Linked DNA regions of Astyanax mexicanus. The main gene of each other region encodes a partner of the protein of the gene in region 2 in a complex. Links are inferred from orthologs where the notes say so. Each region holds a gene or a part of one and is shown on either strand. Other genes may lie near its edges.

Evidence for each region. Proteins that work in one complex are often made in the same cells at the same time.
Region 1: the proteins of cstf3 (region 2) and cstf1 are in contact, whole or in part, in a crystal structure (PDB 6B3X), measured with the Homo sapiens proteins. The link is inferred for Astyanax mexicanus from reciprocal best matches to the Homo sapiens genes CSTF3 and CSTF1. Residues at the interface, in NP_001317.1 of Homo sapiens: Tyr581, Pro582, Lys583, Pro584, Asp585, Thr586, Gln588, Met589, Ile590, Pro591, Phe592, Pro594; in NP_001028693.1 of Homo sapiens: Arg118, Glu216, Ala217, His226, Pro227, Ser228, Asp230, Phe231, Thr240, Arg242, Leu243, Tyr244, Cys251, Phe252, Val253, Ser254, Cys255, Tyr270, Ser272, Ser273, Ala274, Asn275, Gly291, Val292, Ser293, Asn294.

The regions. Positions count from the first base shown.
Region 1 is NC_064431.1:32,787,555-32,791,311, forward strand, and holds the start of cstf1 (cleavage stimulation factor subunit 1), read left to right. Parts: upstream 1-1,188; 5' UTR 1,189-1,273; intron 1,274-2,817; 5' UTR 2,818-2,829; coding exon 2,830-2,998; intron 2,999-3,757. UniProt on the Homo sapiens protein: One of the multiple factors required for polyadenylation and 3'-end cleavage of mammalian pre-mRNAs. May be responsible for the interaction of CSTF with other factors to form a stable complex on the pre-mRNA.
Region 2 is NC_064416.1:4,694,203-4,697,959, forward strand, and holds the start of cstf3 (cleavage stimulation factor subunit 3), read right to left. Parts: upstream 2,780-3,757; 5' UTR 2,680-2,779; coding exon 2,653-2,679; intron 1-2,652. UniProt on the Homo sapiens protein: One of the multiple factors required for polyadenylation and 3'-end cleavage of mammalian pre-mRNAs.

The DNA of each region.
Region 1 (3,757 bases), on a different chromosome or scaffold from region 2:
TAAAGTATTATTATAGGTAGAAGTAGTAGTAGTATATTGATATATATTATTTACTCAATATATTATTTACTCGAATCTTTTTTTTTCCAGACGCTGTCAGTGTATTGCCCAAAAGTGCATTGATTTCACCACACTGTTATTATATTATATTATTATTACTAACAACAACAGTAGACATTTGTAGAAAGATAAATATGCGGAAAAAAACTGGTATGTTTAAAATGTGGAAAATTATTTAGAGTTTAGTGCCTCTTTAAATATTATTATAAGGGAATAGATCTTTAAAGGACTTTATGCAACACTTATTTTATATGACGAATATTTATGTATTATTTAAGGGGATTATTAGGGAAATGTGATACTTAAGGAAATTATTTAAGGGGAATTTTATACTTAAGGGATTTTTTTAAGGAAATTAAATACTTAAAAGGATTATTTAAGGGAAATGTAATACTTAAGAAAATTATTTAAGGGAAATTTGAAATTTAGGATAATTATTTAAGAGAAATATAATGCTTAAGAAAATTATTTGAGGGGAATTTTATACTTAAGGGATTTTTGTTTAAAGGAAATTAAATACTTAAGATGATTATTTAAGGGAAATGTAATATTTAAGAAAATTAAGGGAAATATAATACTTAAGAAAATTATTTAAGGAAAATTTGATATTTAGGATAATTATTTAAGGCAAATATGATACTTAAGGGATTTTTTTAAAGAAAATTTGATATTTAGGATAAGTATTTAAGGGAAATATAATACATAAGAAAAGTATTTAAGGGAAATTTGATATTTAGAATTATTTAAGGGAAATTTGATACTTAAGAAAAGTATTTAAGGGAAATTTGATATTTAGGATAATTATTTAAGGGAAATATAATACTTAAGACAATTATTTAAGGGAAATTTGATATTAAGGATAATTATTTAAGGGAAATTTGATACTTAAGGGATTTTTTAAAGGAAATTTGATATTTAGGATAATTATTCAAGGGAAATTTAATACTAAAGAAAATTATTTAAGGGAAATTTGATATTAAGAATAATTATTTAAGGAAAATGCAATATTTAAGACAATTATTTAAAGGAAATTTAATATTTAAAGAAAGATTTAAGGGTTTAATGAGGCTTTCATTAAGAAGCGTTGAAATAACACACTGATTTAAGTTAAGGGCAAGTTTAAGGGAAGGGGACTTTTATTATAGCGGGCGGTTTTTCCCACAGTTCCACAGTGTAAAGCGGTGCGGTACCTGGCGTTAGCTAGCCTGCTGAGGTAAATCATTCATTTTCTTTCTTTATTTTTAAGTTTTAGAGATAAAACTGCTGATAAATAACCACAGGAGGACTGGGACGCAGTTAAACACTTCATAAAACGCTTCGTATAATTGAAATATAATTTTGTAATGCCTGAGGCTGCAGCGTCTGTAGCAGCGAGGCTAACAAGCTAACAGGCTAACAGCAACACAGTAATTAAGGGTTAACTTAGCTTAGCTTCAAGATATTGATGTGTATTTATTATCCCTAGTAAATAGTGGTGGAATTATTAGGAATATTAATATTATTATTTATTAGCTACATCTAGGTAATATTACTGTTTTTAATGCTTAGTAACTAAATTACTAGTAGCTAATTAACACCTGCTAACTAACTACAAACACTGAATAAATACTTAAACTCTTTAAATCACTTATTCTGTTAAATATATAAAGGTCATTTCATACTTTATGTAGTTTAACTAACCTAGCTTTCTCAATAGTTTCATTTAAGAAGCGTTTAGATATACAGCTCTGGAAAAAATGAAGATATCACTTCATTTTCTGAATCAGTTTCTCTGATTTTGCTATTTATAGGTTTATGTTTGAGTAAAATGAACATTGTTGTTTTTTTCTATAAACTACAGACAACATTTCTCCCAAATTCCTAATAAAATATTGACATTTAGAGCATTTATTTACAGAAAATGAGAAATGGCTGAAATTATGTCAAAAAAGATGCAGAGCTTTCAGACCTCAAATAATGCAAAAAAAAAAAAAAGTTCATATTCATAAAGTTTTAAGAGTTCAAAAATCAATTTTTGGTGGAATAAACCTGTTTTTTAAACACAGTTTTGGTTTCATGCATCTTGGCATCATGTTCTCCTCCACCAGTCTTACACACTGCTTTTGGATAACTTTATGCTGCTTTACTCCTCGTGCAAAAATTCAAGCAGTTCAGTTTCATCTAGAGTTTCTTTGATTTTTCCAAATTGAAAAACTCTAGAATATAATAATCATTTTTACGTGGTCTCTTATTTTTTTCCAGAGCTCTATATAACAATGATATAACTAACAATCAGCTAAGCTAAGCTAACCATTAACAGCTGTGTTGCTGTTAGCCTTTTAGCTAGTTAGCTTGTTAGCCTCGCTGCTACAGACGCTGCAGCTTTAGGCTCTAAAAATTAGTATTTATAATTTTAAAAATAAAGCATTTTATGAAGTGTTTAACTTCGTCCTGAGGTTATTTATCAGCAGTTTTATCTCTAAAACCCAAACAATAATGCCTAGCCTAGCTGACTGTTTGCCAGTTTCTTATATTTCTAATATGAATTGATTAAACTGGCATGTATCAAGTGGTTAATAAAACAAACCAGATATATGTCTAAGGTTTCACCAATATAAACATGCTAAATATGTATTAAATATATTAGAAATTGCACTAGAATTTTCATATTTAGTGCATCCTAATGCTACTGTAAGTAATATATGATGTTTTTGTAATGGCACATGTAAAAAATATATTGAAAATATATGTAATTTTGATTTTTGATGTTTTTTTTAGGAAGTTGGAGAGATGTATCGCCCAAAGCCGACACTGAAAGACCGACAGCACCTGTATAAACTGATCATCAGTCAGCTGCTGTATGATGGATACACCAACATCGCCAACAGCCTGATAAACGAAGTGAAACCCCAGAATGTGGTTTCTCCATCAGAGCAGCTCATGCAGCTCGCCAAGATCGGTGAGTCTCAGATTTAAAGAAACCTGTAGGAAACGACCTGTTTTCTGTAAAAGAAGTTTGGTGTACACAGTGTTTTTCTAGTCAATCAATGCATTGTTGAGATTTAAATTAAATATATCCAGAAAAGTGCCGAAACAAAAGTAGGCACAATTACTTTAATTGTTTATGTAAAAAATAAAATGTATGTAATAATAAGAAAATAAGTAAAAAAAAAAATATATTAATATTAATTTTTATATAACCGTATTGAGACAGTTATTAGATGTATGGACACTGAACACAATGTAAGTTTTTGGAATCTCTTTTCACCCAAAAAAAAAGACCTTTATTTTGAAAGAGTTTTCTGCTTTGTTATAATTAATATTCTTATGTGTGGTAATTCAAATAATTAGTTTAGCCTGTTTTTATTAAATTAGTGTAGCTGTAGCCTAAATTCTAGCTTCTATCTTCTTCCCTTGTTGCTGATTGATTATGATGTGATTTGATTACAATTTGATTTATTATGGTGTGATGTTACTGATAATGATGTGATTTATTGCGATGTGATTATGGTGTGATTGATTATGATGCGATCGTTTATGACCTAATGTGGTTGATTATGTTGTGATTTGATTATGGTGTGAGGTAATTACGATTACGATTGATCATGATGTGATTGGTCATGTGGTGATAAGTTATGATGCGATCAATGGTCTGATTAATTATGATGATAATGATGTATGATTATATTTCTAAGGTAACAGGAATGTAGAACAGTGC
Region 2 (3,757 bases):
AATGGATCATTTTCCAAAGGTCAAAGTGAGACAAGGACTTGAACAAAGCAATGCAGGACTAAATAAGTTATCAAACAAGCTCGGTGATGGATGATACTGACAAAAAAAGATGCAATAAACACTGTTGGAAATCTCAATATTCATGTAGCTTGCCTCTGAAACTGGGCCTTAAAACTAAATAGCTCTTATCTTAACATTGTTAAGAGAAATGGTGATATACACAATATGGTGAAAAACTTAAAGTATAAGGTTACAAAGTGTTAAAAGTACTTGTAAGACTGGATATTTAAAAATGTATTAATATTAAACAATGCTGCTCCTTTAGTTTTGATGTTTCTATGACACAATTAGCACAATATTGTACTGTATTGAGTGTCACCACTTCAGAAACCAAACCATTTTAACACAATATTATATTGCACACATCGAAAACAATATCATTTTGTATGAATCTTGTACCAGACAGTTTCAAGCACACTGATCTTTAAGATATATTTAGCTCTGGAAAAAAATAATAGAGCACTTAAAAATGACGAGTTTCTTTGATTTTACCAAATTGAAAACCTCTGGAATATAATCAAGAGGAAGATGAATGATCACAGGCCATCAAACCACCAAACTGAACCAATTTTCTCCAAATAAATGCTCCAAATTAAAATATTTTTATTTGGAGTTTGGGAGAAAAGTCAGTAGTTTATAGAATAAAACAAGAATGCTATATGATCATTTTTTATCATTTTACTTTATAAATAGCAAAATCAGAGGAACTGATACAGAAACTGAAGTGGTCGCTTAACTGTTTCCAGAGCTGTATATTGCCCAGTCATACCTTCATTTAAATTGTTTAGGTAGGTAATGCAATTAGATTTTCAAAGATTCTTTGATAGACAATATAAAGATATAGCAATAACTGTGATAACATTTATCTCTAAAATGGGGTTAAAGGCAGATCAAAGTCCAATTAAAACAAACAAACAAAACACACATTAATCTAGAAATGTCTTATAATAGCTGATACACTAGATCAAAACACATTAGCATCATTAAGTTCCACTGTAAAAAAAAAAAAAAACAAACAAACAGCACAATACACAGAAGAGGAGATAGCTAGCTAGATAAGAAGTGCACTATAAACTGAATAAGAGGCCAAAGCAAATCTACAAATCAACCCAAAAGCTAAAAACTGACTGAGTTTAGGCACAATTTGCAATAAAATGCATCTTGCTGCAGATTTTTTTTAACCTTGGTCCTAAAGGTGACAAGGAGCTAAGCTTTACCTTATTCAAACACAAATGATGCAATTAAGTTAGCTAAAGAAGGTGTGTTAAAGCAGGGAAAGCAATAAAATGTGCAGGGCAGCCTATGAGCCTTCAGGACCACTTTTCAGTAACACTGATTTAAGGCATTTAACTTAACATGTGTTTGTGGCCTGCACCGGATCAAAGAATTTTAAGTGTGCCTTAAAGTCAGAAAAATATGGAAAATGTATTTAAATATAGCTAGGCCTCTAACGATAATTACATTATCGACTTATCGTAAAATAATGGACACAACCTGATATTTGATAATTGTGATATCATCTATTGCGTTTATTTGTACGTTTTCTATTGTATAGAACAGTGAACAATATTTTAGCCAGTCATGCAATACCAGACCAATGCTTCAATAACTTTGACTCCATACACAGTATAAACTGAAGTAATTTAATAAAATAAAAATAAGTATAATACTATGATTAATTGCAAATTTTGTTTTGCTATCTTTAACATGCTGTCAGTGGCATTAAAATGACCTTAAAATGACAGTAATACTGTTTATTGCAATAGTTTTTGAGACAATGTCAAGCAGAAAATACAGCACATTTATCAATACAGAAATATATACACACTGCCTGGCAAAAAAAAAAACTTGACTTAACTGAGCAAATAGGTAAAAGACTCTCATTGGATTATTATTACTGCATTATAATAACTGGATTATAATTACTATAATTACGGCAACAAGTTACTGGATTTAATCCTAACTGATGCAGGGAGTAGCTTCTCATTTGTTAAAACAACCACGTGGAAAAGATAATAAAGTTAATATGTTTCAGAAGGGTCAATTTATTGGCACCAATAATGCAGAAAAAACATCTAAGGAAATTGTAGCTGAAAATACTGATTGGCCGCCACCTGAACGCCATTAAGACTCTTTGGCCAGGCAGTGCAAAACCATATATAAGTACTAAGTACATAGCATTTGAAGTTAGAAAATAAACCACAGAATAAACAGAAGCTAAATGGTCAAAACATCGCCTAATCGCATCACAGCAGTCCAAAAACAGCGTGTCTTTCGCTACAAACTCAGCTAGCTAACAAACAAACTATTTAACTGAATATCTACCTAGACCAATCAAAGAACACGTACATTATGCAGTTAAATGAATTTTTTATAAGTCCTACACGGGATTTAATGCCTAAAAAATGTTAAAAATGACCTCAAACAGAGACAAAAACAAGCAAGTCAATTCCAGCAGCTAGCCTAGCTAAACTAGCCATAGCTCGTATGCTAAGCTAAGCTAACTAACGGTCGCCCCAGCAACGGCACAGCTTCTTTAACCCGCAATTTAAGCCGTTCTGCAGCTTTATAACAGATTTACAGAATATTTACCTGGTCCGGGGCGCTTTCTGCGGACATTATTAACCTGCAGCGTTTATTATTTGTAAGATTTCCAGCCTGCAGATCCTCACAGGCTCCTAAAATGGCGAGCTCCCTCACCCCCGCTCTCACCGGACGCATGCGCAGACACATACAGAGAAACAGAGGGAAGAGGCGGGGTTTTGTTTGCCAGTTTTTGTATACCTTATTAAATTTTAATTTATCTCAAATTTAGTTTGTAACTCAAAAATAGTCATTTTTATATGGTCTCAGCAAGATATCTAAGCTCACAGAAAAAAATCTTTATTAAAAAAAATATTATATTCTGGTTAAACCGCAGGACTTTTAATTTCGCAGATCTACAAGTCATTCCCACTAAAACAATGGGTGAAGACATGATTTTTAAATCGATTAAAAGAGGTTAAATATTAACAATTCTACATGACTCTAGTGTATGGAAGCATAGATATCAAATACGTATATATATATAAGATATCTATGAATAGAATTCCCATTCCTGCCACCTAAAATATAAAATAAATCCAGCACATTTGTTTTATTATTATTAAGTAACTGCTGTCTCAGTATTTTGACATAGTAAGTCATAATTTTAAATGAACGAGTTAATGAATAAATGAAAGAATGCATTTTATTATGACTATAGCAAGTACAGTGAAATTAGAGGAGCTCATCTCACAGTGCAACATATACAATATAAAAATAAATAAATATGTACTTGCAGTGTAATAAAAAAACAGTTCTCGAATCTGTCTGTGTCCTTGAATAAGTTAAGGAACTTATTCATTATTTTTAGATAGATAGATATTATCTCATTATGTTCAGATCTTATTATCTCAAAATAATGACTTACTATCCCTGAAAATGACAAATAAAGAACTATAAAATACACTTAATATTCACGTTTAAATAATTAATTAAATAATGTCTCGATTATTTATTTATCAATTTATTCATATAATTAACTCATTTTAATTTAAACTATGTATTTCTCACTTAAATGAATTTTTATGTTTTCTTTTATTTATTTATATTATATTTTCACTAAAAAATAGAGTAAACATCTTATAGATAGTATAGTTTTTTTTTTAAAGATTAT